Linked DNA regions of Elephas maximus indicus. The protein of the gene in region 1 purifies or fractionates together with the protein of each later gene. This does not show direct contact. Links are inferred from orthologs where the notes say so. Each region holds a gene or a part of one and is shown in the gene's direction. Other genes may lie near its edges. The genes, in order: NCBP3 and THOC5.

Evidence for each region.
Region 2: the proteins of NCBP3 (region 1) and THOC5 purify together in Homo sapiens (co-immunoprecipitation; 3 studies listed by BioGRID and IntAct, with this or other methods). This does not show direct contact. The link is inferred for Elephas maximus indicus from reciprocal best matches to the Homo sapiens genes NCBP3 and THOC5.

The regions. Positions count from the first base shown.
Region 1 is NC_064837.1:17,349,319-17,364,942, forward strand, and holds the start of NCBP3 (nuclear cap-binding protein subunit 3), read left to right. Parts: upstream 1-8,135; 5' UTR 8,136-8,187; coding exon 8,188-8,370; intron 8,371-8,880; coding exon 8,881-8,961; intron 8,962-10,227; coding exon 10,228-10,293; intron 10,294-12,186; coding exon 12,187-12,292; intron 12,293-15,624. UniProt on the Homo sapiens protein: Associates with NCBP1/CBP80 to form an alternative cap-binding complex (CBC) which plays a key role in mRNA export. NCBP3 serves as adapter protein linking the capped RNAs (m7GpppG-capped RNA) to NCBP1/CBP80.
Region 2 is NC_064840.1:26,971,312-26,986,935, forward strand, and holds the start of THOC5 (THO complex subunit 5 homolog), read left to right. Parts: upstream 1-8,289; 5' UTR 8,290-8,468; intron 8,469-11,207; 5' UTR 11,208-11,243; coding exon 11,244-11,339; intron 11,340-12,892; coding exon 12,893-13,036; intron 13,037-14,906; coding exon 14,907-15,020; intron 15,021-15,152; coding exon 15,153-15,250; intron 15,251-15,624. Other genes in the region: NIPSNAP1 (protein NipSnap homolog 1), read left to right, coding at 1,992-2,062, 2,218-2,358, 2,656-2,687, 3,074-3,168, 4,371-4,454, 6,348-6,412. UniProt on the Homo sapiens protein: Component of the THO subcomplex of the TREX complex which is thought to couple mRNA transcription, processing and nuclear export, and which specifically associates with spliced mRNA and not with unspliced pre-mRNA.

The DNA.
Region 1 (15,624 bases):
TCCCAACAGGCCAAAATAGCCAGGGCCAGGGGAAAAAAGGTGGTATGTTGACCTGACAATCCCACTGGAATGAATTGGTCCGATAATCCCACTGGAATGAATTATAGGACTGTCTTGCCTTTTCTCTTTGGATGGAGGTGTTGAAGTCAAGTACCCAGCTCACCTCCTCCCAAACACTTACTACACAAATTCCCTTGCCCTTGGAACATACCTGAGCAGTGCTGTTGGCATTTTTAAAGGAGGTTTCACAATCATGGAAGTGAGAAATGTTCCAACTATCCATTAAAATTGAGTTTTCTACCTGGGCCTGGGCCCTGATGTATGTACATCTCATTTAGTGCCCTGTTGAGCCATAGGTCAAAAGACACGCCTGCTGGGTAGGTCTTGTTGAGGACTCCAGTACAGTTAAACCCAATCAGAGGAGGTTTAATGCAAGGGAGGGGCAATAGGGCTTTGGGAGGGAAGCTGATACAGTTGACAGTGGGGAGTGGCGCTTGGGAGTAGTTAGTCACAGGGAGATTTTGGAGGTTCCCTGATGTTTTTGTGGGAGGAGAAAAACATATCTAACATAAATGAAGTGGCTGGCCTTCACTGATGGCTTTTGCAACTCGGTAAAAGTAATTACTTTCCCAGTTTTCAGAGCCCTGTGCCCAAGGGGATAGTATGGAGAAACCCAGGAGGAAAGTGAAAAGGGGCTTCATCTTAAGAGTCTTCTACGTACAAAAGCAATTAATTCTTGAGAATTAAACCTTTAACACCAAGGGAAGTAAGTGTATTCAAAAATGGGCAGCTGACAAGCAAAGGCCAAAAGAATATTAGGCAAAGTGCTACAGTAAATGCAATTTCTAAAATCTCTACCATGTTCATCATTAGCAGAAAGCTTCATTTATCAGGTCTGGGCCTTTGGAACAACAGCTTGAGTCCTTCCTGTGGCTCTACCATCCAGTCAGGCTCCGTGATCTTGTTGTCTGGTTCTCTGGTACTAGGATTTGCTGGGGCGGCTGTTGGTTTTACTCGGGAATAGCAGACCCATGGCCTTATTCCTTCAAGTTTCAGAGAAGAATATGTGGTTAATAACACCAAATAGGATCTCTTCCATATCGGCTGGAGGTCTTGATCCTCCTTCCAATGTTTTAACAAAGCCCGATCTCCTGCTAAGAAGTGGTGTAAGGGCCCGTTAGGTGGGTCTGGCAGCCTCCAGGCTGTGCAGTCTTTTATTTCAGTTAAGAAGGCTTGAATTTGTGAGAGAAAAGTCCTAATCTGACCTTTAGGATCTACTTCACTGTTAGGAAACTGAGCATGGTCTATTTGGAAGGGTCTCTCATACATCATTTCATAAGGGCTTAAATTAAACCTGCTTCTAGGGGCTATCCGAATCCTCAAGAGAGCCAGTGATAGGGCCTTTATCCATTTTAGTCCAGTTTCTTGACATATTTTTGCTATCGTTTTCTTCAGGGTATGACTCATTTTTTCTACCTTTCCAGAAAACTGTGGTCTCCAGGCAGCATGTAGTCCCCAAGTTATGTTGAGTGCCTTTGATACCTGCTGAGTTATTTCAGAGACAAAAGCTGGCCCATTGTCTGATTGAAGGGTGATGGACAGGCCAAACCTTGGAACAATTTGTTCTAACAGAGCCTTAGATACTTCAAAAGCTTTTTCCATCCGAGTTGAAAATGCCTCTATCCAGTTGGAGAAAGTGTCTACAAATACTAAGAGGTACCTAAGGTTCCCAGCTGCTTTAGTCATGGTTGTAAAATCTACTTGGCAGTCTTCAGCTAGACCCTTCCCTGTAAACTAGACACCAGGAGGCAGAAGAAGCCAGTTTTTAGGGTTATTCTGGATGCAAGTATGGCATTGTCTTTGAATCCTTTTTATACTCTGAAGGAGATTTTTCCCTGCAAAGTGCCTCTTAATTCATCTGGCTGTGGCCTCCTGTCCCCAGTGGGTGGCTTTGTGTAAGGCCCTCAAAATGTTCCATGCTGTGAGTCGTGATAAGCACATAATTTCTGCAGTTTTTATACCACTCGTGTGACTGGTTGGGGTCTGGTGAAAATCCCCAATCTTTTATTAACTCATGATCCTTCTCTGTGTATGCTGGATTAAAGTGTTCCTAAGGATGCTGAATGATCAGGCCCTCTGCTGACGGTGGTTCTTCAGTCTGGGATGTCCTTCTAGCTGCTCGTTTTGCTGTGAAGTCAGCCAGGGCATTAGCCCTCGCCTCAGGAGTGTTTTTCATTTGGTGTCCCTTACAGTGAACTACTGCTACCTGTTGAGGCATCTGAACGGCTTTCAACAGTGCCAAAATCTGTTCCCCACATTTCATCTCCTTATTTGCTGATGTTAAAACGCCCCTCTCTTTCCATATTGCTGCATGTGCATGGGCTATCCAAAGGACGTAATGAGAATCAGTTAAGACTGTCACGGTCTTACCTTCTCCCAAGGTTAGGGCTCGGGTTAGAGCAACAAGCTCAGCCTTTTGGGCAGAGGTCCCTACAGGCAGGGTTTCGGCTTCGACAACCTGGGGGTTCAAGGGAAACAACAGCATATTCAGCCCTCCTCTTTCCTTCTTCTATGAAGCTACTCCCATCAACATACCATTGAAGACCTTCCTCGAAAGGAGTGTCTCAAAGGTCTGGTCGGCTGGAGTATGTTTCTTCTATTGTCTGCAAACAATCATGTATTAGAGGAGGATTTTCGGGGATTGGCAATAGGGTGGCTGGGTTGAGCTGGGTTCCAGTGACCAGAGTTACAGCTGGGTTGTCTAGTAGGATGGCTTGGTATTTACCTAGTAGGCCGGCGGTCAGCCATAGCCCTCCTTTTTGTTCCAGAAGGGCAATCACGGTGTGAGAGGTGTGCACACTCAGAGGCTGGCCTAAAGACAGTTTTTCGGCCTTTTAGTATTAGTTTGCAGGAAGCTGCTACTGCCCTTAGGCAAGGAGGCCATCCTTGTGTGGGCAAATCCAGTTGCTTGGGGAAGTATCCTATGAGTCTCTGGTGAGGTCTCAGGCTCTGGGTAAAGACTCCCAGGGGTATCCTTTTGCATTCATGGGTGTAAAGATGAAAAGGCTTTTCCAAGTCAGGGAGGCCTAAAGCAGGGGCCTTTAATAAAGCAGCCTTTATTTCCTTAAAGGCCTGTCGATAGCTAGGAGACCAAATGAATGGGTCTCCATCTCCCCCTTTCATAGCTTCGTAAAGGTGTTTTGCTATCAGTACAAAGTTTGGGATCCATATTCTACAAAACCCAGCCATGCCTAAAAACCCTCTGAGCTCCCATCTGTTTGATGGTTTTTGAGTGGCACAAATGGCCTCCTTGCATGCAGGAGGTGGGGTTTAAGTTCCTTGTGATATGAGGAATCCCAAATATCGGACCTGTAGCTGGGATATCTGGGCTTTTTCCTTCCAGACTTTGTATCCCAACTGGGCCAGGAGATTGAAAATCTTAATGGTATTTTGGTCAGAGGCCTTTCGCCCTTCACTGGCGATGAGAAGATCATTAACATATTGGAGCAGGACACCCTCCTCTAATTTGAGGCCCTGGAAATCCTGACTGAGTGCTTCCCCAAAGACGGCTGTGCTGTTTTTAAATTCCCAGAGAATTACAGTCCAAGTTAATTGGGACTTGTGTCCTGTGTTGTAGTCTTCCCACTCTAAGGTGAACAGTGGCTGAGATTTCTGCAATGGGGATGAAGAAAAATGCACCTTTTAAATCAAGCACGGAGAAGTAGTTACAGTCTCCAGGTACTACAGCTAGCGAGGTATGGGGGTTCGGGACATTGAGTGGATATCACTTACGATTTGGTTGATGGCTCTCAGGTCCCGTACCATCCTGTATTCTCTGTTGGATTTCTTTACTGGCAGGATGGGTGTGTTGTATTCTGACTGGCATGGTCAAAGCATTCCCATTTTCAAGAATTGGGTTACCAGTTTCTCAAGTCCCTCTTGAGCCTCTCTTCTCATGGGATACTGCTTTAGATTGGGAGTTCCAATCCCTTCCCTTAGTTCGATTACCACTGGGGCTGCAGACACTGCTCTTCCAGGCTCTCCACTAGCCCATACAATGGGGTGTACTACTTGTAGGATGTGTTCCAGTATTTGGGAGGAGTCTTCTAATCTCTGGGGCAGGAGAACGGCTTGTAACCACCAGCCCTCCTAGGCTGGAGCCTGGATTTGGATAACCGGGTTTTCAGTCCCATGAAAGGAGATAAACCAAAACAAACCAAACCCAGTGCTGTCGAGTAGATTCCGACTCATAGCAACCCTATAGGACAGGGTAGAACTACTCCACAGAGTTTCCAAGGAACGCCTGGCGGATTCAAACTGCCGACACTTTGGTTAGCAGCCGTAGCACTTAACCACTACACCACCAGGGTTTCCATGAAAGGAGATACTGGCCCCTAATTTGGACAGCAAATCCTGTTCCAATAAGGTGGTCAGGCATTCTAGTATGTACAGGAATTGATGAGACTGGAGTTCCCAGTTGTGCATATAGCTGACTTAAAAAAGTTCTTATAATTTACTTTTCTTGACACACCAACAGTTGGAGTCCTTTTGGCGCTCAAGGGTAAGGTAAGGGGATCATTTAAAGCCGAGTGGGTGGTCCATGTGTCTAAGAGGAATTGAACTGGCCTCCCCTCTATTGTTAGGTTAACCCTGGGTTGTTCAGGGGAGATAGTGACAGTCTGTCCCTCTTGGAGCCAGTCTGTGGGAAGTCCCAGGCCCCTTCCCGGTTGGAGGTCACTCACCACATACTTGGCCGGCCAGCCTTGTTCAGGGCACTCATTTTTCCAGTGTCCCTCTTTATGACAGTAAGGCACATTGGTTCCTTTTCAGGGGGCCAAAGTTCCCCCTGGCAGGTTTTTTTCCCTTCTCTTGATGCTGGTTGATATGGTGAGGGGAATGGTTTCCCAGTTAAGGCTGCCACCAGCAGGGTAGCCTCTTGTCTTGCTCAGAGAGTCTCCTTCTGCTCTTGTTCCTGGTCCCTGTTATTAAAAACTTTAAAGGCTGTTTCAACGAATTGAGAGGTAGGCAAACCTGGCCCTCCATCCAATTTCTGGTTTTTTGTATATCTGTAGAGCTTTGTACTGTGAAGATGGTATTAACCATTTGTTGATTCTCACTAGCTGCCAGATCCGTATCAGTGTGTCTCTGGAAGGCCTGGAAAATTCTTTCAAGAAACTCAGAAGGGTTTTGTTTAGGGTTCCTGAATTACTTCATAAATTTTTGAGAGGTTTTTCTGTTTTTGTACCCCAGTTTTGTACCCTTCTAGTAAGCACTTTCTATAATGCCTCAGCCTACTCATGCCTTCCTTCGAATTGTAATCCCACTTTGGATCAACTCCAGGGACTGTGTTCTTGGCTGGCAGTTTGTCAGGATTTTGGGGGTCTTCATTATGTTCTTTATCAGCGAATTGTCTAGCCTTTTCCAAAACCATTCTCCTCTCTTCAGAAGAGAGAAGAACTTCCACCAGAGACTGGCAGTCTGCCCAGGTGGGCTGATGGGTATTAAAGATGGATGAAAATATGTCATGGATCTTTTGAGGATCCAGATGCTGTGTTGGGAAATTATTTTTCTAGTTAAACAAATCTGAAGCGGTGAAGGGGACATGCGTCAAAGTGTTCCTAATTCTCCTGTCTACTCCTGTCCCAGCCGGTGCCTCCCTTAAAGGGAATTGGACCACTTCTGGATCACGCTCCTTGTCAACACTCTGGAGGAAATGGACTGGCCTTGGCCAAATGTAGCACCACTGTGGGTGTGAGGTGGGAAGACCATTCCTGTTCCTGGGGTCCCAGGATCAATGCAGGCCGCTCCCGAGGCCCCGGGGCTGGGGTCAGCAGGAACCACTTGGGAAATCTGATGGTAAATAAGATTACATGGGGGTGACAGTCCCACTACAAGCTTGGACTCTTCTCTCTCGAGAATTTGTTTAGACTTCTGATTAACCTGAACCATCAATCTGCTTTGCTATTGTAATCCCTGATTATAACACAGAGTCATGAACACTTGAACATAAGGTATCTCATCCTACTTACGCGTTTTCTTACAAATCTAACTGCAATATGGTATTATAGTGCAAACTTACCTTGGCCAGCCACTTCTCCTGACCTTCTAAGTTATATTGAGGCCAAGCTGTGCCACAGAGGAACCTCGAATGCTTCGTCCTGGTGTCACCAGTTTTAAAAAAATCCCAGTGGGTCAAGATGCACTCTAAGGGGGATGGTTTAGGGGTGGACTGACCGGCAGCCATCTTGTTTATAGATCTTATCGCTTCTAATCAGTAGGCCAGGGGAAGGATGTATTCGAGAGGCCCTGACTATACGGAGGCGCGGAACTCGGTTACCCTGATACATAATCTCAGGTGGAGCAATTCAAGTACCACACCTTCCACAGCCAATATTTGTAAGGACCGTACTTTGCTCCAACTGAGTTACTGTCTTATACGAGACTCAGTATCTAAAATTAGAAAGGATGTTTCAGTACACTCCTCATAAGAGAGATAGACATAAAACCATCCTGCGCAGGGAGACTTCCGAGCTAGAACATGAGACAAACGGGGGCGGGGGGGGGCCCAAGACACAGGGACAATATTCCTTAACCAGATCCTATAACAAGATCCTGGCCAAAAAAAAAAAAAAATGCAGGGGTTGAGACAAAAGACCAGATGGAGACCTGTGCCCTCATGCAGGTGGGGACTCAGCCCCAGGACACAGGGAGATCACCACAAGGCCTAATAACACCCGTTACTGAGGACACGACCAACCACCTAGTAGCTCCTCCAAAATGAAACTTAAAATAGGTACCTGTTTCATGGCACTGTCAGAATGTTTCTCTTCTCCAGTGGGGGACTTGTGGGTTGTCTGGTCTGGGGCTGGTGCGGCCCAGAAAGTCCTCCTGACCCAATGGAGCGTCAAGGGTGCCCTCTGGAGGAGGTTTCAGGACCTAATTTACCCTGAGCCAGAGTCTCCACTGCGTCCCATCTGGGGTGCCAGATGAAGCCCTCAACTAATAGGTTCTTGTTAAGCAGACTAGCGAGTTGAAGTCAGCCAGACACAAGGGTGGAAGAACAGAAAGGTTTATTCGGTTTGCAAACCGGGAGGCAGGCAGGGTCTCGTGACCTAAGACTGCCAGCTCCCTGAACCAGGGCAGATTTGCCCCTTTTATAGGGAGTGACATACATATGCGTGAACAGTGTGGGGAGGGTCCTCAGTCTTGTGATGCGTGGGCAGTCTGCATAATTTTTGTGAATGAGTTTTGGCCCACGGCTCTAAAAATATTGTGCACAGCCCTAAAAAAATGGTGATGGTTCCCTACTGCCACTGAAGGAAGGTCATACAGCAGGTAAATTTGGAGTTAGTGCACCTACGCCTTGGCCTTCTGCCAGGAGAAGAGAAGAAACCCGGGATTCAACCAATCATGGTGAAGTGCTGTAAAATTTGTAACAAAAATGTAGCAAGAGTAAACTTTTCTGAAATACAACTACTATGGGATGGCTAATATAACCCTTAATAACACTTTCATGACTGCCTGCTTCACAACGACCCTATAGGACAGAGTAGAACCGCCCCACAAGGTTTCTGAGGCTGTAATCTTTACAGAAGCAGACTGCCACATCTTTCTCCTATGCTGGTGGGTTCGAACCATCAACGTTTCGGTTGGCAGCCAAGCACTTTTAACCACTGTGCCATCAAGGCTCTTGCTTAGTAAAACCAAAAACCAAACCCATTGGGGTTAAGTAGATTCCCACTCATAGTGATCCTATAGAACAGGGTAGAACTGCCCCATAAGGGTTTCTAAGGAGCGGCTGGGGGATTCCAACTACCCAGTTAGCAGCCGAGCTCTTAACCACTGCACCGCCAGAGCTCCTGGCTCAGTAAAACTAGGTTTTATCACAGGTTTACTCAAGGGCTAGCTGTTTTCTAAGCCCAGACTGCACGGGTCTCCTTCAAGCCCCGCCCCCACCAGCAGGCCCTGCCCCATCCCCACTCAGTCCCTCCTCCTCCTCACCAGGTCCCGCCCCAGCTGGTGGTGGTTCCTCCAACCACCAGGGAGCGACGGAGCTGAGGACCACCTTCTGCACTAACCGGGTGACACTCTGGGTAGCGGCAGCGGCTCCTCTGTGGCCAGTTGTGGCGGCGCTCTAGCCGCCGGGTGTGCGGAGCGGGCTCTCAGTGGTGCGGCCGGCGGGCGGCGATGGCGGCCGTACGGGGCCTGCGAGTGTCGGTGAAGGCGGAGGCCCCGGCAGGGCCGGCCCTGGGGCTCCCTTCGCCAGAGGCCGAGCCTGGCCTGGAGCGCGGCGAACCAGAGCCTATGGAGGTGGAGGAGGGCGAGCTGGAGATCGTGCCGGTGCGGCGCTCGCTGAAGGAGCTGATCCCGGTACGGGCGGGGGGCGGGGGTCGGAGAGGAGGTCGCGGAGGGAGTGCCCCGCGCTCGAGGGGGCCGGAAGGGGAGGTGGCTGGCGCCCGGGCCGGGGGAAGTTGGGGGTGAGGAGGAGAGGGGCGCGGGCGCCCGGGGGGCGGGGGGCCAGGCTTGAGGAAGGGGAGAGAGAGAAAGGATGCTGGGAGCCCGGAAACGGGTGGTGAGGGGGCTGGAGGACCGGCGGGAGAGCTGGGGGGTAGTTGAGGACACCCTACGCTGCTTCCCTGAACCTGTTTGTGGAAGGGAGTGAGCGAGGAGCCGCCGGGTTTGAGATAATGGGGACACCCGGGGCGGGAACAGAACCAGGGGCGGCCCAGAAGGAAGTGTTGGGTGGCCCTGGCGTCCAGGTCTCCTTGTGGGTCTTGCTTTAGTGTAGTTGGTGTTTTAAACCTGGCACTCGCGGTCTCTCTGGGGAGCACTGGCTTTGTCAGCAGCAGAAACTCACGGTGTTTTCTGTTGTGGCTTGAGGGTCATCTTGCCTCGGCGCAGCTCCACTGCGGTACAGGACCTACACCGTTGCCCCAGCATCTGACCTCTAATGAAACCAGAGTAGGTGCACCAGTCATCTTTCTCGGCCCCTCTTTTATCACAAGGGGGATGGGGAGAGGTGTTTTGCTTGTGGTTTGGTGGTCGTACGGTGCGGTTTTCAGACAACTGGTCTCCGGCCTGGATGGTCCTCTCATATCCTTAAATTCTCACCTGCCATAAAATACTTTTCACCACGTCAGCAAGTCTTGCTTTAAACTGAAGTCGTGAGAAAAGGTTAAGGTAGGCTTACTAGAAATGGCCGATGATAATAAACATAATGGCACTTTACCGTTTACTGCATTATGCTGTTTAAATATCATTGCACCTGTGAAGTAGGTATTATCGTTCTTTTGTTCATTCAGTTCAGTATCTGTTGCACCCCTCATTATGTGCCAGGCCGTGTCCTAGGCACTAGATCAAGATAAGTCTCCCTCCTGGAGTTTATATTCTAGTTGGGGGACACAGATAATAAACTAATGAACAAATAATTCCTGATACTGGGATGTGTTTGAAGAAAATAAAACACAGGATAGAGAGTGCAGGGAGTAGGGAGGGCGTGCAGAAGCAGAATGTGATAGGATGGTCAGGGAAGACCTCTGAGGTAGTGACGTTCAAGTCCAACCCTAGATGACAAAAAGGAGCCAACAATGTGCAGGTACAGAAGGGAGTGTGGCCAGTAGCGGGAACAGCAAATGCAAAAGTTCTGAGATGGGAACAAGATTGTTTTGTTGGAGAAATGGAAAGTTCTGTAGCACAAGTGGAACAGTAGTAAAAAAGGTCAGGAAGGTAGGCAGATACCATAGGAGAAACTGAGACCCACAGAGATAAAAGGATTGTCTTTTAATCCTCTGTGTCCAAATCCCATCTTCTTTTCATTGTACTGTGCTGTGTTTTCCCCTTGAACTCTAGGAGAGCCTGGACTCTCTGCATTTTGGTAGACTTGTGCTCCATCTAGTGGCCTAGCCTGGGGAGTTTGTCCAGTCTGGGTTGGGGCGATAAGACATGACTGCACCTCATCTTTGACATTTTCTCCAAAGCCTTCAGATTCACATTTACATGGATATCTTCAGTTGATGGGATTACTTCAGGTTTTGGGTGGGCTCTGATCTAGAAGGGACTTCTTAGAGTCCCTGGGACAGGCTTTCTCATAATAAGGAGTTGTCGGGGATGGGGGAAGTGTTGCTGAAAAGAATGACTATCCAAGGGGAATCACTTGTCAGGCTGCCTTTTATCATGAGTTTTTCTTCAGTTGCTGTCAGCACTTCTCACTGTTCCTCTTTGTGTTAGGACACAAGTAGAAGATACGAAAACAAGGCTGGCAGCTTCATCACTGGAATCGATGTTACTTCCAAGGTAAAACAGACCATGATCGGTTTATTCAGTTTGATAAGTGTCTTGGGAACTTGGTCCCTCAACATAATGCGAGAGTATTATTCTTTACTTCCTTTTTTTTCTTGTTGCTGGATTACGTTTGTTCTTAATTGCATGTTACACAAGGCAGCCCTCATGCATCCCCCAAAAACATCCAGGCAACATTACATCCCCAAAAAGATAAAACTACTATACCTAGATGCCTGTGCTTAACCATTTCCAAGAAGAAATTCTGTGCTAGGAGTGCTTTTTTAATGCTGCGTGTCCATTCTTTCAAAATGTGTGCTTGTGGCCATTTTAAGTGAAAAGTGCCTGGCACATAGTAGGCCCTTAGTAAATGCCTTTATTCCTCATAGGTTGTAGGCTTAGAAAAATAGGGCTTACTGATTGCGTGGCTATCTGAACTTTGAAGGCCAAGTCAACAAAATTATTCCCAGTACCTGAGAGTATTGCCTTTTAACTAGCGATTGCTGTTAACTAGATTACCAGCTTCATTGCACTGTTGCATAGAGCCAGACCTATTGTTTTCCTTATAAGCAATCCGTATGAATTTGTCACTTTGATCGGTTTTATCTAGTTTAGATACCATTTGTGATTTTAACGTGTGCTGTTAAATTTGGAACAGAATTATGAATAGCAGTTCTAAATAACAATACTATATTGGATGTATAAAAGCAAAAATAAAAATTAAATATGTCATGCTTTCTTTTTAATATTTTATCTTTCGGCTTAAAGACCGAAAGAGAATTAGTCATCCTTTAGACAAGCAAGAAAATGGAATAAAGTGAAATGTTTTCTTATTCTTACTGTAATTGAAAAAATTATAGTCTATACTGTTCTTAATCCTACATAGTTTGCCATTATATGGAACAGCTATATGAGAGAAAGGGTGGTAGCCCCAGAATTGGTACTTAAGTTGTTACCAGAGGAAGGTAGATAAGTTGTTTGCACTGGGAAAACGTCAGTGAAGAAAATTAGTGTAACTATTGGGGAATAACAGAGGTGTTGCTGCTTTACCAATCCCCATAAGCTTTCTATAGTCAGACCTTTAATTAGTGTGTCAAAGTCCATAAATATACAATTAGTGAAGGGTCCCTAAGGGCCATCAGAAAGGAACCCACAGTTGCACCTGGATTTATTTTAGCTCTTAGAAAAAACTTAACGAAGCTGATTATTTTGTTTTTCAGGGAAGCTCCAATGCTTCTTGTCACTTAAAGATGAAAACTGGCAATTCCACAGAAGCGAGGCTAGAATGGAGGAGGGATTCTTGGTGTTGGTGTTATTTCTAAACAGGAAAATAGCTTTAGGGGGTGGACTGCTCAGGCAGACTTACTGTGTGGAAGAGTGCGATAGGTGTGACTACCATGCATACAGAGGATGTGAACTGGTGGCGCTGGCGGTGGTGGGGCTTCTAGAAATAGCACTGGATTCAGATCTGCCCCTCGCTAGCTGAAGTACTTGCAGCAGACCTTTTTACTTTTTTGTGCCTCAGTTTTTGCACATGGAAAATTGGGATGTTGAGATTGTTGTAATTTATTCTCAGGATTGTTAATAATAAATAAATTGTCAGAGGACTTCATAAGCTCTAAAGCACTACTCATTCAGTCAATGGATATTTATGAGTTCTTACTACGTCCCAGGCGCACTGATAGGTACTAAATCATCTTGGAGTTTCTTGTCAAATTATAGTGATATTAGCGCACCCCGTCCCACGTATTGAATGTGAATATCCAATTCTCTGGAAGATTATTCCAGGTACAGTGTTGTCCTTTTCTTCTTATTGACTTTAGGATTATCACGGATACGTCATGTTGGGTTTGTGATTTGACTTTCCTCCTTCATGTTTCACTACTTTGACTTTTTCTGTCTTTCTAGGAAGCCATTGAAAAGAAAGAACAGCGAGCCAAGCGGTTCCATTTTCGATCAGAAGTAAATCTTGCCCAAAGAAATGTGGCCTTGGACCGAGACATGATGAAGAAAGGTACAGGAAGTATTAGGGGAATTTTCCCACATTTCCCCAGAGTGACTTCCCTGGCATCACCTCATGCTTCTGGCCTTGCTTTGCATGTATGATATTCATCCAAATACGCCCAAAGGGAGAGACTTGTTTAGTCTCTATTTCTGAGGCTACTGTTTAAAATTGAGATGTTAGCTGCATCTGAGATGTTAGAACCGGAAAAAAGGAGATGATATTGTCTGAGTAGGTGCAGAGAATGTCACACAGTTAGTGGCGGAGCTTTTACAGATCCTTACTCCTGCTTTTATCAAAGGAGCACTAACTTCTTTGCCTTTAAGTGTAGTGAAGGTGTATCTCACAGACCTTGTTTTAGGGGAGTTAGAGGAATATTGGGATGGGGAAAGCCATTAATACTTCTGTTGATTATATGAATGTGTGACAAATGTAAACCACACAGTAACATCCTGTCGTCAGAGAAAGCTAAATGAATCTCGCCGTAGGTTTTATAGTGCTACCATTTGGCTTGTGATTTTATATTATTTTTTGTTAGAGAAAGTATTGCGCTCCTTAGATCTCTAACGTGTGTGTGTATGTGTGTATGTATGTATACACGTATACATATACAAGTGTCCGTATGTGTATATATACATGTATATGTTACAGTCTTCCAAAGCAATTTATAAATAAAAGGGAAAATTATAATTAGTTTTTTAAATTGTGCTTTAGGTAAAAGTTTACCGAGCGAATTAGTTTCTCCTTTGGAAATTTATACATGAATTGTTTTGTGACATTGGTTGTAATCCCTGCAATGTGTCAGCACTCTCCCCCTTTCCACCCCGGGTTTTCTGATTCCATTTGTCTGGTTTTCGTGTCCCTTCCTGCCTTCTCATCTTGCTTTTGGGCAGGTGTTGCCCATTTAGTCTTGTATCATTAGTTTTTGAGTGAGTCTCCAGCCGTATTTATTATTCCATTCTAATATAAATCCATTCATGAGAAAGGTCTCCGTTGTATTTGCAAGTTTGGGTATTTTTGAAAGGCTTAATAGGCAGATCTGAGATGCACGTTAAGGTCTGTGCTCTGCTGTGAGAGTTTCTTTAGGCTTGCTTGATTGGTAGGAACAAAAGCTGCAGGAACATGTTGAATGAATAGCTACCATTTGTTGGGGACCACTTTTACCAGGTTTTTTTTGGGTGTTAAACATGGAGCCCTGGTGGCGTAGCAGTTAAGAGCTCAGCTGCTAACTAAAAGGTCGACAATTCGAATCCACCAGCTGCTCCTTGGAAACCTTGTGGGGCAGCTCTCCTCTGACCCACAGGGTCGCTATAAGTCGAAATTGACTTGGCGGCAGCAGGTAAACGGGATGTTAAGCATGTTGTACATATACTTATTCATTTCTCACAACAACTCTATGAGGGATATATTTTTTATTCGTGTTTTACAAGGAAGGAAATAGGCTCAGAGAAGTTTAATAAATTGCCCAAGGTCATGTGAAGTAAAGGTGGAGTCAGGATTTGAACCTAGGTTTATCTGACCCTAAAGCCTTGATCTTAACTACTTTGCTCTATTGTTTTATAATATATGATATGATAGACCCAAACCATGCCCCCCCCGCCCCCCCCGTCGTCCATCTGAGTAACCAGAGTAACTTGGATGCAGAGCTCAACTTTGGAAGTTGCTTCTACTTTTTCATACATCATTAGTTCAAGCTGGAAATAGGACCTTGCTTCCCTCCATAGGCTGAGGTCCCAGGCTTCTGGTTGAATGGATTTCTGTTTTAGGAAAAGTCCTGTGAAGGCCAGGGACAGATTGCAGCTTGCCATTTGTCAGCCTGTGTGGTCTGGGCTGAAGGAGACCTTTCTGAGTCCTCTCTCACAAGTCAGCCTTGAAAGCAGCATAGTTTGACCATGCCTCTGTACTTTTAGTCCTGAACATTCCTTGTGCTGTCTTGCCCCTGGTCTCAGTCATGCCTTCATCAGCTGCTTCAGATGTTACTTCCCCATGAAGCATCCCTAGTTACCCACTGGAAATTCCTTTCCACCTGTGTTGGAGCTCTTTAGAGTGCCAGGCCCTTGCGGAACCTGGTTGTAGTTCGTTGTTACCGTGGACAAGTTATTGAACTTTTTAGGTCTCAGTCTCCTTGTCTGTTAAGTGCCTTCAGCATGGATTATACCTCAACATAAAGAAAACAAAAATTCTCACAACTGGACCAATAAGCAATATCACGAAAATGGAGAAAAGATTGAAGTTGTGAAGGATTTCATTTTACTCGGACCCATGACCAACGCCCACGAAAGCTGCAGTCAGGAAATTAAACAAAGCATTGCATCAGGAAAATCTGCTGCAGAAGACCTCTTTAAAGTGTTAAAAAGCAAAGATGTCACTTTAAGGACTAAGGTGCGCCTCACCCGAGCCATGGTATTTTCAGTCACCTTGTGTGCATGTCAAAGTTGGACAATGAATAAAGATCAAAGAAAGATTGATGCCTTTGAATTATTGTGTTGGTCAAGAACATTAAATATACCATGGGCTGCCAGAACAAACAAATCTGTCTCGGAAGAAGTATAGCCAAAATGCTCCTTAGAAGCAAGGATGGCAAGACTTTGTCTCACATACTTTGGACATGTTATCAGGAAAGACCAGTCCCTGAAGGAGGACATCATGTTTGGTAAAGTAGAGGGTCAGTGAAAAAGGAAGACGCTCAAGGAGATGGATTGACAAGGTGGCTACAACAGTGGGCACTAATTGTGAGGGTGGCACGGGACCGGGCAGTTTTTCGTTCTGTTGTACATAGGGTTACTATGAGTCAGAACTGACTTGAGGCAGCTTATAACAATGTGTCTCAGTCTCGTTGTCTGTAAAATGGGAATATCATACCTACCTGAATAGGATTGCTATTTGGGTTAAATTTTTTTAAATTATTTTTATTGTGCTTTTTTAAGTGAAAGTTTACAAATCAAGTCAGTCTATCACACAAAAACCCATATACACCTTGCTACACACTCCCAATTACTCTCCCCCTAATGAGACAGCCCGCTCTCTCCCTCCACTCTCTCTTTTCGTGTCCATTTCGCCAGCTTCTAACCCTATTTGGGTTAAATTTTAATTTATTTTTATTTGTTTGTTTTAAAGCAACCTTGATTTCATAGTTCTGAAGAAATTCCTAGAACAGGCAGTAGCTCTGCCTGGGAATGGCAACTGGGGCAGTGTCTGCATTACAACCTGTTCTTCATCCAGGGGACAGCGTGGCCTAGGATAGTGTACCTGAGCCCTGGGAAACTTTAAAAGAAATATTGCTACCCATCCCAGATCAGTTGAAATCAGAATAGGAGGGGTTGGATAGGGCTTGGAGATACCGT
Region 2 (15,624 bases), on another chromosome or scaffold:
TTTTGTTATAATACTTTACTTTGTCTTCTTCAGCTGTGCTTTGGAATCTTCTCTTCAGCTCTTTTACTGCATCATTTCTTCCTTTCGCTTTAGCTACTCTGTGTTCATTTTAGGTATGACTAAATGTGCTCTAGCTGTACTCCTTGGATTCTCACAAGTGTTTGCTGCTTGTGATATGTATTTTGAGAGATGGGATTCTGAATCTTTAAAGCATATCTTATATTTTGTGTGTCTCAAAGTGTAGGCCCCTCAAGCGTCTGTATTAGAATCAGCTAGAGCAGACCCTCTGAGCTGTACCCTAGGAGCAGGGCTCAGAAATCTGCATTGTAATGACTTCGTAAGAACCACTGACCCATCTTCTACAATCATTAAGAGGGAGTCCTGATGGCTTAATAGTTAAGCGCTCGGCTGCTAACCGAAAGGTCTGGTTCGAATCCACCAGTGGCTCTATGGAAGAAAACACCTGGCAATCTGCTTCTGTAAAGATTTCAGCCTAGGAAACTGTACGGGGCAGTTCTACTCTGTCTTATAGGGTCACTATGAGTCGGAATTGACTTGTAGGCACACAACAACAACAAATAATCACTGGAAAATTCTCTTTTGTCTTCCGCTGCCTTCCCTGTAACTTTCCCTGCTGGTCTTACTATAGGAGTGAACCCCTCTTCCACAGGTCAGCACTTCTGGTTTTGGTGGACTTTCATCCATATAGTACTTTTGCTATTGATCTTTGAAAGAAGACTTTACAATGCAGGATCAGGCCATTTTGTAGATGGGAAAATCAAGGCACAGATGGAGTCAAAAGGCGGGTGGGGACAGGCTGCTGACTGGAAGTAACAGAGGCTACGCTTTCTTTGACAAGTGCTGGTCAGCCAGTGACCACAGCTCCAACCTGCCCAGGTGACTCTTTGGAGACCTGCCTTCTCTGATGGGCCTAGCCATGCTCTCAGGATGGCAAAACTGTTCACTTTTTTCTCCTCCACAGTGAACTAGGTCTCTTTATTGTTGGCAGTGGTGTTTCAGCGGTAGAATTTATGCCTTCCATACAGGAGACCTGGGTTCGATTCCAGCCAACCACCCGTCTTGTCAGTGGAGGCTTGCATGTTGCTATGATACTGAACAGGTTTTAGCAGGACTTCCAGACTAGGACTGAATAGGAAGAAAGGGCTGGGGATCTACTTCTGAAAAACAGCCAATGAAAACCCTATGGGTCACATAGTCTGATCTGCAACCGATCATGGAGATGCTTTAGGACCGGGCTGCGTTTTGTTCTGTTGTGTACGGGGTCCCCATGAGTCAGGGACTGACTTGATGGCAGCTAACAACAACATTATTGGATGATGTGATAAAAAATCCAAACTGTGCAAAAGTTTTCAGTGAAAAGTAAGCCTCCCTCCCACCCACGGCCCCAGACCTCAGTTCTCTGTTAAGGAGCATCTGCTGTCATGATCTCTGGGGGCTGCATCATGAGATGATGCATAGAGAGCTTCTCTGGAAATGTCTCATGTAGCACCCCCCCCGTCCCCCACCAAACACAGGGGGCAGCCTACTGTGCATGCTGTTCTGTTTCTTGGTTTTTTGTTTTTTAATTTGCTGTCTTGGAGACTGTTCCGTATCAGCTCGTCAAACCTACCCTCTCCTTTTATCCAGCCTTATGCTTGCTGCTGCTCCCGCGGAAATACATCTGATATCGTCTTGCTTGCTATTGAAGCAAGGTTGGGTGGGAGTACTACCTCATTTTCAAGATGAGGACATTGAGGCCTAGAGGGGTCAAAGGCTGAACCCAGGTTTCTTGGACTTGTGTCTCGGTCATCTCATGTCCAGTGCTGTCCTTCACCAAGACAGGGAACTCAGAGAGTCTTGATGTTAGAGGAAACCAGGCTGGAAACCTCTCCCCCACCCCTCATTACATATACACACTTGTTATCCAGCCTTGGGGTAAACAGGGTGGGGTCCCAGTGGCCCTCTGACCTGTACCTCCTACCCCCCGACAGTGCACCTATGGCGATTCTCTGGTGGCTACCCAGCCCTCACAGACTGCATGAACAAGCTCAAAAACAACAAGGTATGTTGGCATCTGGCCAAGCCTTCCTCTAGTCAGGGAACCTGTTGTTGGCTGTGGCCCAGTCCTGTGCTGGGGGCTGCCTCCATCACCCTGTGGGGCACACTGTTGGGTGGGGGTACTTTCTGACTGCTGTGCCCATACTGCTGTGCCCACAGGAATACCTGGAGTTCCGGGAGGAGCGGAGCCAGATGCTGCATTCCAGGAGAAACCAGTTGCTCCTTGAGTTCAGCTTCTGGAATGAGCCAGAGCCCCGAGCAGGCCCCAACATCTATGAGCTGAGGACGTATAAGCTCAAGGTACCTTCCTCTTGGCAGAGCCCTGCCTGCCTCCTACCTTCCCTGCTGCAGTGCTACTTTGCAGGTGCGCCAAGATGGGCCCTGGGCCCCAGCACCTAGACTGGGCCTTCTGGCTTCCCCCTCCCTGCAGGCTCCCTGCAGGCTCAGAACAGAGGTGTATATGCATCTGTGCGGATGTGCACACCCAGGTTCGAGTCAGGGCCTGAATGAGGCTCTGGGAACAGTGATACTGGGGAGGATCCAAGGTGAGGCTCCAAGATGGGGCTCATTCCCATCCTTTCTCTGCCTGTCTTTCAGCCGGGAACCATGATCGAGTGGGGGAACAACTGGTGAGTGGCGGTATTAGTGCTGGGGTGGGAAGACCCTACCCATCCTGCCTCAGCCAAGGGCCCTAGTAGGCCACCTTACCCAGGACCATATCATAGGAAACCCAGGATTCTCTGCCCCTCCTGGACCTGGGAGAAGGATGTCCAAGGAGGAGGTGAGGATCTCCTGGAGGATTGTGAGGCCTTCCCTGGGAGAACACACAGCCAGTGGCTGCCCCTCTGTCACCCCATTTTCTGAATCATCTCTGCCAGCTGGTGGCCATATCTCCCTGTGAGGTGTGGCTGAGGCATCAGCTTGGGCACACTTCAGGGAGCCCTTTGCACAGGCGGAATTCCCAGGCCTCCCCCAGAGTCCTGGCTTCTGCCCAGCACTCTTCTGCCATCCCCAGGGCCCGGGCCATCAAGTACCGGCAAGAGAACCAGGAGGCAGTGGGCGGCTTCTACTCGCAGATAGGAGAGCTCTACGTTGTGCACCATCTCTGGGGTAGGCTGGGGACCCTCTGGGAGCCCATGCTAGTCCCTGCTCTGCCATCAACACTCTGTGTGGACAGTGGGGATATACCAGTGCCCTCACGGAGCTGACATTCTAGCAGAGGGGAGACCACCTCAGATGTGAACTAAAAAGAAAGATCATTTCAGATTATTACAAATGCCTTGCAGAAAAGAAACAGGGAGATGTGATGGAAGAAAACATAGAGGACCTACCTTGACTGGGGTAGACAGAGGCAGCCTCTCTGAGGGGGTAAAATGTAAAAACAGCTAACGAATAAGAAGGAGCCAGTGGTGAATTGCTGGGGGAAGGGCATTCCAAGAGGAGGGAACAGCACGTGCAAAGGCCCTGCAGTGGGGAAAGGTCTTCAGGGTTTTGAGGCGGGGGAGGGAGGTCAATGTAGAGAGTGTGAGGAGATGGGGTAGGAGAGGGGGAGAGGCGCAGATCAGGCTGGGCCTCAGAGACCATGAGGTGATGGAATTTTCTTCTAAACGCAACAGGAAGCTGCTGGAGCATTTTAAGCAGTAGCAACACAATTGGATTTATGTTGTAATATGATTCCTCTGGCTGCCGTGTGGTTGGTGGTTTGTAGGGGAGCAAGAGAGGAAGTGGGCTATCAGGAGACAGTAAGACTAGTGCAGGTGAGAGAGGATGATGGCCTGGCCTAAGGTGGTGGCAGTGAGCATGATGAGAGGCCACAGATTCATTTTCTGGAGGTAGAACCAGTGGGACTTGTGGATGAATTGGCTGTATGGGGTGAGGGAGGGAGAAGAAGATTCCAGAAGAACTCCCAGGCTGCTGTTTGAGCCGCTGGGTGAATACTGCTGTCACTTAATGAGATGGGGAGATCTAGGGGAGGAATGGATTAGAGGGTCAGGGGTGTAACTGGCCCTCGGAAGTATCCCGTTTGAGACACTGGCACATCCAAATGGAGACATCAAGTGGGCACTGGATACATGAGTCTGGAGCTCGCAGGAAAGGTCAGAGCTGGAAGTATAAATTCGGGAGTTGTCCGCATAATCAGCATATGTACTAGCTGGATGAGACTATCAAAGGAGACAGGGTTTGCTAACAGTCCAGGGCATGTGGGAGGAGGAGGTGGCAGGGCAGGGTTTGGGGCAGTAGGAGGAAGGCCCATGCTGGATACAGGATCAAATCCTATGTGCCCAGGGAATAAGCATATGCGTCTCCCACAGCCTATAAAGACCTGCAGTCTCGGAACGAGACTCGAAATGCTGCCTGGAGGAAGACGGGCTGGGACGAGAATGTCTACTACACAGGTGAGCGCCACCTCTGGGAGTCAGTGGGGCCCTTGGTCCTTTGCCAGGAGCCCTGTCTGAGGATGGAATCCATTCTGCGTGGAGGTCTAGCCTTGCTTGATTACCTCCAGTGATGAGGAACATGAAGTTAGTGAGCTTCTATCCTGGTGGCACGTTCTGTGTGATCCAGGCAGTTATGAGTGCTCTGGGGGACGATAAGGTAGCCCAGAGGTCCCTGCCTCAGAGATGTGGAGTAGCTGAGCACACACCTTGGACTTGGCTTTTCACCTTGCTGAGGCTGTTTCTTCCCCTCTAAGATGGTGATGGAGATAGTGCCTCCCTGAGAGCTATAGGGAGAATTCCTTGAGGTAATCTATAAAAAGTGCTTTGGCCAGAGGCTGGCCCAGAGGAAGCACGCCACAAATGTGGCCTGTTGTTTTTGCTCAAGGAGTTTGCCACTTTATTGGTAACCCCTGAGAACCACCTGGAATCAGTAGGTGTTGATAGAGCCCTCACCCCGGGCCAGGGACTGTTGTGGGTAGGTGGGTGGAGAACACAGAACTGAACAAGAGCCTGTCCCTGCCCCTTGAGGAGCTTAGGGTTAAGCTTACAGATGCCATCTGGTGTGAGGAGAGAATGTGCTTGCTGAAGGAGTCAGCGGGAGCCTGGCTGCTCAAAGTGTCCCAACGGACAGTTTTGGCATCCCCTGGAAGCTTGTTAGAGATGCAGAATCTCAGGCCCTCCCAGACCTACTGACTCAGAATTTGTACTTTAACAAGAGCCTTGTGACCTTAGACATGGCTGGTGACTTGCATGCATGTTTAAGTGTGAGAAGCCCTGAGGAGGTAGAAAAGAAGTCTGACTTCCTGGGTGACCTTGGGCTGTTCGTGACCCTCTCTGGGCTGCAATTTTCCCATCTGTTAAATGAGGCAGTTGGACAAAATCAGCGTTTTTCAAACCTCAGCCACTCGAGGACACCCTCACAGCTTGCCCTATCAGCATACTCTCGCCACAATTATTTTCTTGATATTTTTCCTTAAAATATCTTTCTTTCTTCTTAACCTGGAGCCCTGGTCGCACAATGGTTAAGAGCTTGGCTGCTAACCAAAAGGTCAGCAGTTTGAGTCCACCTTGGACACCCAGAGAGCAGTTAGCAGTTCTACTCTGTGCAATATAGTCACTGTGAGTTGGAATCAACGCGACAGCGACAGGTTTGGGTTTTTTTTGGCTCTTAACCTAGCCTTGGAAACCCTGGTGGCGTAGTGGTTAAGTGCTATGGCTGCTAACCAAAGGGTCGGCAGTTCGAATCTGCCAGGTGCTCCTTGGAAACTCTATGGGGCAGTTCTACTCTGCCGTATAGGGTAGCTATGAGTCGGAATCGACTTGCTGGCGCTGGGTTTGGCTTGGTTTTGGTAACCTAGCCTTTTGTTTGTTTTTCAAAAATTTTTTCACAATTTTATCTGTGAAATCACTTTTCACTATGCTAGTTATTTTTTCGTATACACAGGAAAATAAATACATAATTGTTAAAATTTTAAAATGTTCATCTCATTACTACCTAAAAAAAACTAGCAGTTGCTGTCGAGTGGATTCCAACCCAGAGTGACTCCGTGTGTGTCAGGATGGAACTACTCCATAGGGTTTTCAATGGTTGATTTTTCAGAGTGAGACTGCCAGGTCGGTCTTCCGAGGTGCTTCTGGGTAGCCTTGAACGTCCAACCTTTTGGTTAGCAGCCAAGTGCTTTAACCTTTTGTACCACCCAGGACTCTGTTACCACCTAAGTCCCCTCTTATCCCACAATGTTGGGAACCTGGTCCTCTCTCTGGGCCCTTCCAGGAGGACATTCAGAGCCTTCTCCTCCTCCAATGGCTAGTGGGGGTAGGCGCTCACGACCTCTGCCTCTGTCTCCGCAGTCCCGTTGGTGCGACACATGGAGTGTCGGGTCATGATCCCCTTGAAGATCTCACCTCTGCAGTGATGTTGCCTCCACATCCTTGCCTTTCTCCCTCAGGTCCTGGTTCTGCTCACATCGTTTCTTCTCAGATCTGCAGGGGTCTAGGGGGCAGTGCTCAGCTCAGGCAAGGGGGTGCTGAAGGATGATAAGGTCTGAGATTTGCAGCTGTGCCCAGACCCTGCCTGCCTTCCCCGGCCTCTTCCTTCCCTTCCTGCTGGAAAGTTTCTTGTTTCACTGACAGAAGAATAGCAGCCTTTTATGTCTTCCCACATCTTCTCCTAAGATTCCTCAGCTTAAAGCCCTAGCCCTTAGTTATCACCACAGAAATTCCCAACTGCACTTTAGTTGCCCAAAAGGTAGTGTGTCCAGTGGTTAGTAGTGGGGTGGGAAGAGAGGTGGTTGGCACTGTGCCAGGTCCTCAGGAGCTCCCTGGCCTCCACTGGGCCAGACAGTCTGAGTCAAGTCCCTCCTGCTGGGGACAAGCCTGGAACTGCCAAAAACTCTCATATCAGCAGGATCAGGAGGAAGTCAGCACATTCCATGGGGGGGTGGCGGGGAGGATGGGCTGGGAGAAGGGACGGGGGATGGGAAAGATTTCGAGGCAGGAGACGGAACATGGGATCAGGGAACCCAGAAAGCAGACCCAGGTTTGAATTGCAGAATTTGGAATCCAGAATTAGGAAGATAGAATAGAGATGACTGAAGACCACTTGGGGAGGGATTCTAATACAAGACAGACGAGGAGAAATTCATTTGTTTTTCCCTAAGTAATGGGGTTGAGACCTTGAATGTGTAGTTCCAGTGTCTCCCACCCTCTTCCCTGCTTCAGGCAAAGGGACAAAAGCAGGGCCTGTGTTTCCCCCACTGGCATTCCTTTTTCCCCACTCCACATTCCATTAGCCCAACAACCCTCATTTTACTGGGACACCGGGAGTATAGAATGGGGTCAGTCATTCTGGGTGCCTCCTCCATGAACCTCATACCTCATGAACCCCTTGCTTGCTTGATTGTGCCTCCCATCCAGAAAAAGTTGTACTGGAGTTGCTGATGGAACCAATTAAATATTTACTGTAAACCTCATGTGTCTTTTTTTTCTATCTGTAAGGACCTATGGCAAATGCCCAAGGCAAGGCAGAGCTGGCTAACTTCCAAGTCCCACCTAGCTGATCTTTCCCCCTTAAGGGCTTTGTGTTCCCTTAGCCACTATCAGGTGGGGGGCCATTTTCAGCCTCACCCAGGGGTAGGAGAAAGAAATGGCCATGTACTGATTCAGGACATGGGCGTTTCTAGCCCCAGATAAGTAGGATTTTACATTAAAAATTCAGGATATTTCATGCCAGGGCTAGGAATCACTTGAAGCTGTCAAATACTGCGTTAGAGCTGTGACTATCCTAGGTAAATTGGCCCTAAAAATGGGGAAACTAGTGATGTACCTGTGAAAAAACAAGTGTAAAATGGGGCTAATGCCTTCGCTGTGTGCCTTGGGGCCCTGAATGTGACAGCATGTTTTGAAGGCAAATCCACTGGGGTCTAAATCTTAGCACTACCTCGTTCTAGTGTGATCTTCAGCGTAACAACTTTATTCACTCAACAGACACTTGCGAAGCACCCACTACTTGCTGGGCACCACTTTTAGGCCCTGGGGAGAGTGCACGAAGCCCGGAAGTTTTTGCCGTAACGGCTCCAGTTTCCCAGTCTTAGAGGAAAGCGTTGGGGTGGGGAGGTGTTGGCCCGCTGAGAGCCTCGCTGACAACCGAGGCGCAACCACCTTCCGCTGCTGCCCAGCTCAGACGTTGTCAGCGCTACACGCCGGCGGTCGCTGGGAGGCTCTGGGCTTCGCTTCCGGCTTCCACGCCTCGCTTCCGGCCGGCCGTTCCTTCCTTCCGTTTCTCTATGGTCACCGCCGGAAGTGGCTCGTTACCGGGGGCAGGTTCGCGACACCGTGAGGTGTGGAGGAAGCCGGGTCGGCAGGGCGCGCGCGGAGCGGAGGGCGGAGCCACGTGTTCCCGAACAGAAACGTCGCTGGTCCGAAGGGCTCCGCGGGGCTGGTGTGACCCGGGCTCTCCACCCTCCCCACTAGGTACCTCGCGCTTAGTTTCCGCATCTGTAAATGTTCGCTGCATGATTCTCAGAGTCCATGTTGTAGCCTAATGGTGTTTGTTGTTGTCAGATGCCGTCGAGTCGGTTCCAGCTCATAGCGACCTTTTGTACCACAGAACGAAACACTGCCCGGCCCTGCGCCATCCTTAAAATCGTTGTTACGCTTGAGTCTATTGTTGCAGCCATTGTGTCAGTCCATCTCTTTGAGGGTCTTTCTCTTTTTCGGTGATCCTTTGCTTTACCAAGCATGATATCCTTCTCCGGGGACTGAACCCTCCTGACAACATGTCCGAAATATGTAAGACGCAGTCTCGCCATCCCTGCTTCTAAGGATTGTACGGGTTGTACTTTTTCCAAGACAGATTTGTTCATTCTTTTGGCAGTCCATACATAGTATATTCAATGATGATTAAGACGGTGATAAATACGTTCACTGCAGGCTCCTCAGGGCCCTGGTAGTGACGACGACGGTGATGGAGGTAACAGTTCGCATTTGTTGAGCACTCATACAAAAAAAAAAATTTTTTTTCATACCTGTAGGGCACATTTTACCAGTGTTGTCAAAGTCGGGATTCAGCCTTTTGGGTGTGGGTGTCACCTTTTGGGGTTTTGTCAAAACAACTTATCATCCATAGATTCCTTACTACAGTTTTAGTTGAGTCTTTTTTAAAACTTAAATTTATTTTAAAAGGAGACTTTGCTACTATAAATTAAAACTGCTCTCACTTGTTGTATGTGGATGGTAATGCTAAAACCTGATGTATGAAAGCAGATCACTGTTAATAAGCTCTGACTAGATTTTGCTGTCTAAGGTTCCTGAAAAGAGCCCTTTATTCACAAGTGAATATTAGCATTCATAGATGTTAAAGACAAACTAGGTGAACTTAGATGTTTTCCATGAAGTAATTGGAATGTTTGAAAAACAATTGAAAAGGGATTAACTTTCTCCCTAGGTGTTTAGCCTTGTTTAAGATCACCCATTCACCATTTAAAATCACATCTCCAGCCCCAGCTCATCTTCAGCTCCAGTACCCCCTTAAGGAAGGCACTGTTATTCTCATTTGAAAACCCAAGGCAAGTTAAATGTTTAGCACTTAACTTTGGTAGCCATAAACTAATAGAGTGGAGATGCCAACTCAGAACTTTCTGACTGACTTATTGGCTCCCTCAGTAAGTGTTGGTAACAGATGTGTTGGGACAGGGACAGTGCTACTGATCTTGGGGCTGTGGAGATGACCAGAAGTGGCTGAAGTAAGGATGCTTTGTGATCCTAGAGCCCCATGAAATGTAGGGTCATTCTCTTAAATTTCAGGGTCAACCAGGGAATTAATGGCATCACTAGATGAGGATGGTGGCAAGACTAGGGAGAACAATAATGTGTCATTGAACGGACCCAAGCTTTGTAACCTTGGGCAAGTCATTCACTTTTCTGAGCCTCCATTTTCTCATCTGTAAAATGGGGATAATATTAGTTCTTATCTCAAGCGTTTATTGTGAGGATCAAATTAGAACATACCCAGAAAGTGCTTAGATCAAGATTCAGCATACAGTAATCAATCAGTAGTATTGGGGATGGGTTAATATACCAAGCTGAGGAGTTTGGATGCCAATTTAGCCAGCTTTTATAGAACACTTTGCCAGGCTCATGGGAGAGAAGGCAGAGCTCATAGTCCAGGTGGGGAAGACAGGTAAATGGTTCAAAGGGGTAAACTATCTAATAAACCATACCAAACCTTTTGCCATCAAGTCGATTCCAACTCATAGTGACCTTATAGGACAGAGTAGAACTGCCCCATATGGTTTCCAAGGAGTGCCTGGTGGATTTGAACTGCAGACCTTTGATTAGCAGTTAACCACTATGCCACCAGGGTTTCCAATTACTTAATGGTGTGTCTAGAGAACTCAAAGGAGGGAAGGCCTTCGGGAGGTCTAGTAGTAGGCTTCCTAGAGCAAGTGAGCATTGTTTTGTCTTGAAGGATACAGAGGTGGAAAGGAAAACGGTTACTGCAGGCAAGGGAAAGAATGTGGAGTGTATTGGGAATCAGGAATGGTGTGTGTACTTACACCTGGAAGTAGAGATCTGAGGGGGATGAGGAATAGGAATGAAAGAAATGTGGTTGGGATATTGGGTTGGGGACAGACCATGAAGTGTCTTTATACCAGGTCAGCAAATATGGACTTCATATGGTGCATTGTGAAGGGCTAGCAAAGGTTTTGAAACAGAGAAACATCAAGTTGGTTTTTTTTAAAGAAAGAATTTAGACCACAGTGTTGGACAAGACAGGAGGCTGTTACAGTGGTTCCGGAGAGGAATACAGAGGGCCTGACCTAGAGTGTTGAGATGAAGAAGATAACATGATGCCTGGGATCACTGGGTAAACACCTGAATGAAGGGACACTTCTGTAGAGAGAGTGTGAGCAGGTTGTGGATATAGGGGAGGGAATGATTGAAGTTGATTTTGAGGTCAGTTTGGACAGTAGGATGGGTCATTGTGCATTTAAAGAAGGTGGAGGTGGAGAAGATGAGTTCATTTTGGACAGGATGAGGGATGCTTCTCTTGTTTTACAGATGAGGAAACAGGCTTTGGAGAGTTAAGTAACTTTTCTTGAGTTACCAAGTCTGTGAGTGGCAGACTGCTAGTTAGACTTCAATTTTCTGACTTAAGAAAAATCTTCAATCCGATTCCAGAAAATCTCACAAGCTTTCTCCCCTTAACAGTTCTCTACTGTTTCTACCTGACCTTGCTGAACAACCATGTCATCAGAATCAAGCAAAAAACGGAAGCCCAAAGTGATCCGAAGTGATGGAGCCCCAGCTGAAGGGAAGCGAAATAGATCTGATACTGAGCAGGTAAGATCAACCAGGGTTCCTGTGCCACTGAGAAATTGCAGCTTGTGGCCAAGACCCCAGCTGTGGGTTTGGGGGCAGTTCAGGGTTGCCCTTAGCCGGTGACAACTTCCCAGGTGGCCTCTGCTTGGCCGAACCGAACCGGTTGCTGTCGAGTCGATTCTGACTCATAGCGACCCTAAAGGACAGAGTAGAACTGCCCCATAGGGCTTCCAAGGAGCACCTGGTGGATTCGAACTGCTGACCTTTTGGTTAGCAGCCATAGCTCTTAACCACCACGCCACCAGGGTTTCCCTCTGCTTGGCCAGGGGACTGAAATTCCCTTGGCACTACAAAACCTGAAGTGTCTACATCAGCTTTAGGTGCAGCATTCCAAGAACTGAATAACAAGCCTATATTAGACACGATTAACAACTGAACAAGGAGCCCTGTTGTTGTAGGGTTAAGCACTCAGCTGTTAACTAAAAGATTGGTGGTTCGAACGCACCCAGTGGCTTCACAGGAGAAGGACCTGGCGATCTGCTCCTGTAGAGATCACAGCCAAAAATACCCTCTGGGGCAGTTCTACTCTGTCACATGGGGTCGCTGTGAGTTAGAATTGTCCCAGCATAACCCGACAACAACAACAGTGCCTGAACAGAGAACGTATTTCAGTACAGTGTGTGTGTCTGGTTTTCCTGATGGTCCGAAGAAGACAGTCCACCTACAGCACACCACTGGGGCTTCAGAGATGTTACGTACCTGGGTTTGCTACTGAGAGTACCAGAATCATCTGCCCACAGAACCTGTTCTCTGATCTGAGAGCCCGTGTCATCGGGCTCTTCTCTGTCTTAGGATCTGTCAAGCTAACTTAGGATTTTAGCTGTTTTGATTGGGTGTTTGTTTCGTTTTTAACTAGAGCAGGGAAATATACCAGCATACATTTAAATAAAAAGTGGTGCTTTCCTCAGATTTAGGAAATTAAGCTTAAATGCAGAGCCTTATCCTTTTTAGCCGTTGATTCTGGCTCTTGCTTAAGGCTCATGTACTCTGTTTGTGAAGGCTGGGAGATATTTCAGCCTCTGCTAAAACTTGATTTGACAACCTAAGCACCCATCAGTAGGAATTTGTTTAGATGAATTCTGGCTTAACAATATCATGTAGCTATTTTGGGGGAAATTTGTATTTATTGGGATGGAAAATCATAGTAACCAGCATAGACAATATGATCCCATTGTGCTTAAAAATAAAATGTATATTTAGCTCACAATGTTAATAATAGAGTTGTTTCAGGCTACGAGGTTACAGGGAATTTTTCATTTTCTTTTTGATGCTCCTCTGAGTTCTGAATCTTTGACACCAAGCATGCATTAGCTTTGTAATCAGAAAGGATAAAAAAGTTCCCGTTCTGAAAAGAAGAAAAACATTTGACTTGAGGACCAGATCCTTTGGAGATCTGATTTGGGGCTTCATAGTTACTGTTCTTATGTAACAAGCGATATCAGCTAACTGTCTCTGGTCCTGACAGAGAGACTCTCACCCCGCCCCACCCAGGACCTCTCTCCTTGTCTCCACAGGAAGGTAAATACTACAGTGAGGAGGCGGAGGTGGACCTGCGGGACCCTGGCAGAGACTATGAGCTGTACAAGTACACGTGCCAGGAGCTACAGAGGCTCATGGCTGAGATCCAGGACCTGAAGAGCAGGGGAGGCAAGGACATGGTAAGGAGTGGGACTGGGTGGCCATGAACCTGGTGGGTCTGCATAGATGGAACTAGACGTTGTCGGCTCAAGAAGTTTTTATAGTCACCAGGGCCCGCCTCATCTTGCTCTTCTGTACTGGCCATAATCAGGTGGTTGGAGCCCTGAGGCTCCAGAGACCTACCTATTGTTGAAATGTCTTATCACCACCCAATTACCAATTATCGTAATGAAAGCACAGAGTTATTTATTTTTTCCCATAAATATAATCTGATAATTCATCCAACTAATATTTATTAACTGCCAGGCTTTTTGCTACGTGTTGAGAAATGATGGTAGATATAAATTTCCTCGATGTTTTAAGAATACCAAACCGAAAAAATGTGTTGTCATCAAGTCGATTCCGACTCAGGGCGACCCTATAGGACAGAGTAGAACTGCCTCACAGGGTTTCCAAAGCCGTAATCTTTACGGAAGCAGGCTGCTGCATCTTTCTCGTGTGGAGTGATTAGTGGGTTCGAATCGGTGAGCTTGTGGTTAGCAGCTGAGTGCTTAACCACTGTGTCACCAGGGATTCTCATTATAAGAATTGATACATACAGATAAACAACAGACCAAAAATGAAATTGTTGTTAAATGGCTTTAAGGGCAGAGAAAAAAACTGTGGCTAAAAACCAGATGGATAAGTTTTAAAATGATGAATCCGGTTGTTTTCCAGGAATCTCACTAATTTGTGCTCATGCTGTCCAATACTGTGAAGGTTATCACATCGAATCTGTTTTATCGTAGCCAACCTGTGGCACTCTCATTGTTATTGTCATTTAAATTATTCTCTAATGCCATTTACAGGCATCAAATTTTATTCATGATGTCATTGTTGTTAGGATTTCTATACAAAATCCCCAGGGACAGTTTTTTGTTTTTTTTGTGTGAAAATATACACAACAAAATGCACACCACTGCAACAATTTCTTTGTGTGTAATTCAGTGACGTTGGTGACATTCTTCAAGCTGTGCCATCTTTCTTGACAACCTTTTCCAAACTGTTTTACTATCATTAACACAAACTCACCACCCTCCTAAAGTTCTCACATATCCTTTCAAGTTGCTGTTGTCAATTTGATGACATGTAGATAATTCTTTAAAAGAGTATAATGCAAACATTCTTTTCTAATTAGGCTAAATTATTTGGTTCAAAGATGACTTTAGGGGACAGTTTCAATTCAAGGTTTAAAGATTTCCTCAGGGTAATGGTTTTGCTGCATCATTTGGCCTCAGTGGCTCCAGAAAATCAGGATTCCATGAGAATTTGAAATTCTATTCCTCATTTCCCCCCTTTTGATCAGGGTTCTCTGTAGAATTCTTTATCTAAATGCTCATCAGTGGTAGCTGGTTACTATCCAGTTCTTCTGGTCTCATATCAAAGGAGACAGTTGTTCACGGAGGCAGTTGGACACAAATTCCGTTTCCTCCACTGATTCCTGACTCTCCTTCTTTCTCTGATGTTCCCAGCAAATAGAGACCAATTGTACCTTAGGTGGCTGCATGCAAGCTTTTAAGAACCGAGGCACTACTAGGAACTAGGAGGTAGAACAGATGCACCAAAACCAATCTTAGGCCAATTGACTAGAATGTCTAGAGGCAGGTATTAATTGTGTATTGACTGTACTTGCTCCATATTCGATTCTTGTTAGTTTAGTCCAAGCAGAAATTGCTTTTTTACTTAGGAACCTTATCCAGTCATTCTTCCATTTCCCTCTGACATTTCTCATGTTTCTGAGCTCCCTCCAGTGTCTGTTTTTGCCCCTGCGTGGGTCAGCAGTGAGGGAATAAAGCAGGCTGGCCCCAGCACCTGTTGCCAGAGGTCTTGCCCGGTTTTCTCTGCCCACAGGCAGTTGAGATCGAAGAACGGCGGATCCAGAGCTGTGTACATTTCATGACTCTCAAGAAGCTTAACCGGTTAGCTCACATCAGGTTGAAGAAAGGAAGAGATCAGACCCACGAGGTAGGAGTTGAGAGGTTTGACTGTCCTCCTGCCCTTCGTCTACCCTTTTCTTTGTCCATTTTACCCCTTCCCTGGGTTTGCTGCCCTATTTCTGACTTGCCCTCCTTACCTCTGACCTTGTCCTCTTTTCAGGCGAAGCAGAAAGTAGATGCCTATCACCTGCAGTTGCAGAACCTGTTGTATGAGGTGATGCACCTTCAGAAGGAAATCACCAAATGCCTGGAATTTAAGTGAGTTTGGGAGGACAGGGCTTTGGCACAGATGGTCTGTTGGTAAACTGAGTTTTGCTTAGTGTCAGCCGGCCTCTTTAAAAAGAAATCTGATGAGCTTGAAAGACTGAAGAATCTGGAAGAAAGACAAATAAAAATCAGAAGCAATTGTTTTAGGCTGGACAGATGACCTCAGAAGCCTGTTTGACTCTTTGGCTTTTTGAGCTCTGTACCTGATAAAAGCAGTTCTCTCTCCCCAGCAGGGACTTTACCTTACCAGTTTGATTTCCTAGCATGCTGTACGGGGACAGCTCACTTCCAGTCATAGCCTTTTAACCTTTTGACTGAGTTTTCCTCTCTAAAGTCCCAGCAGTTCATTTTTACAACTGCAGTTT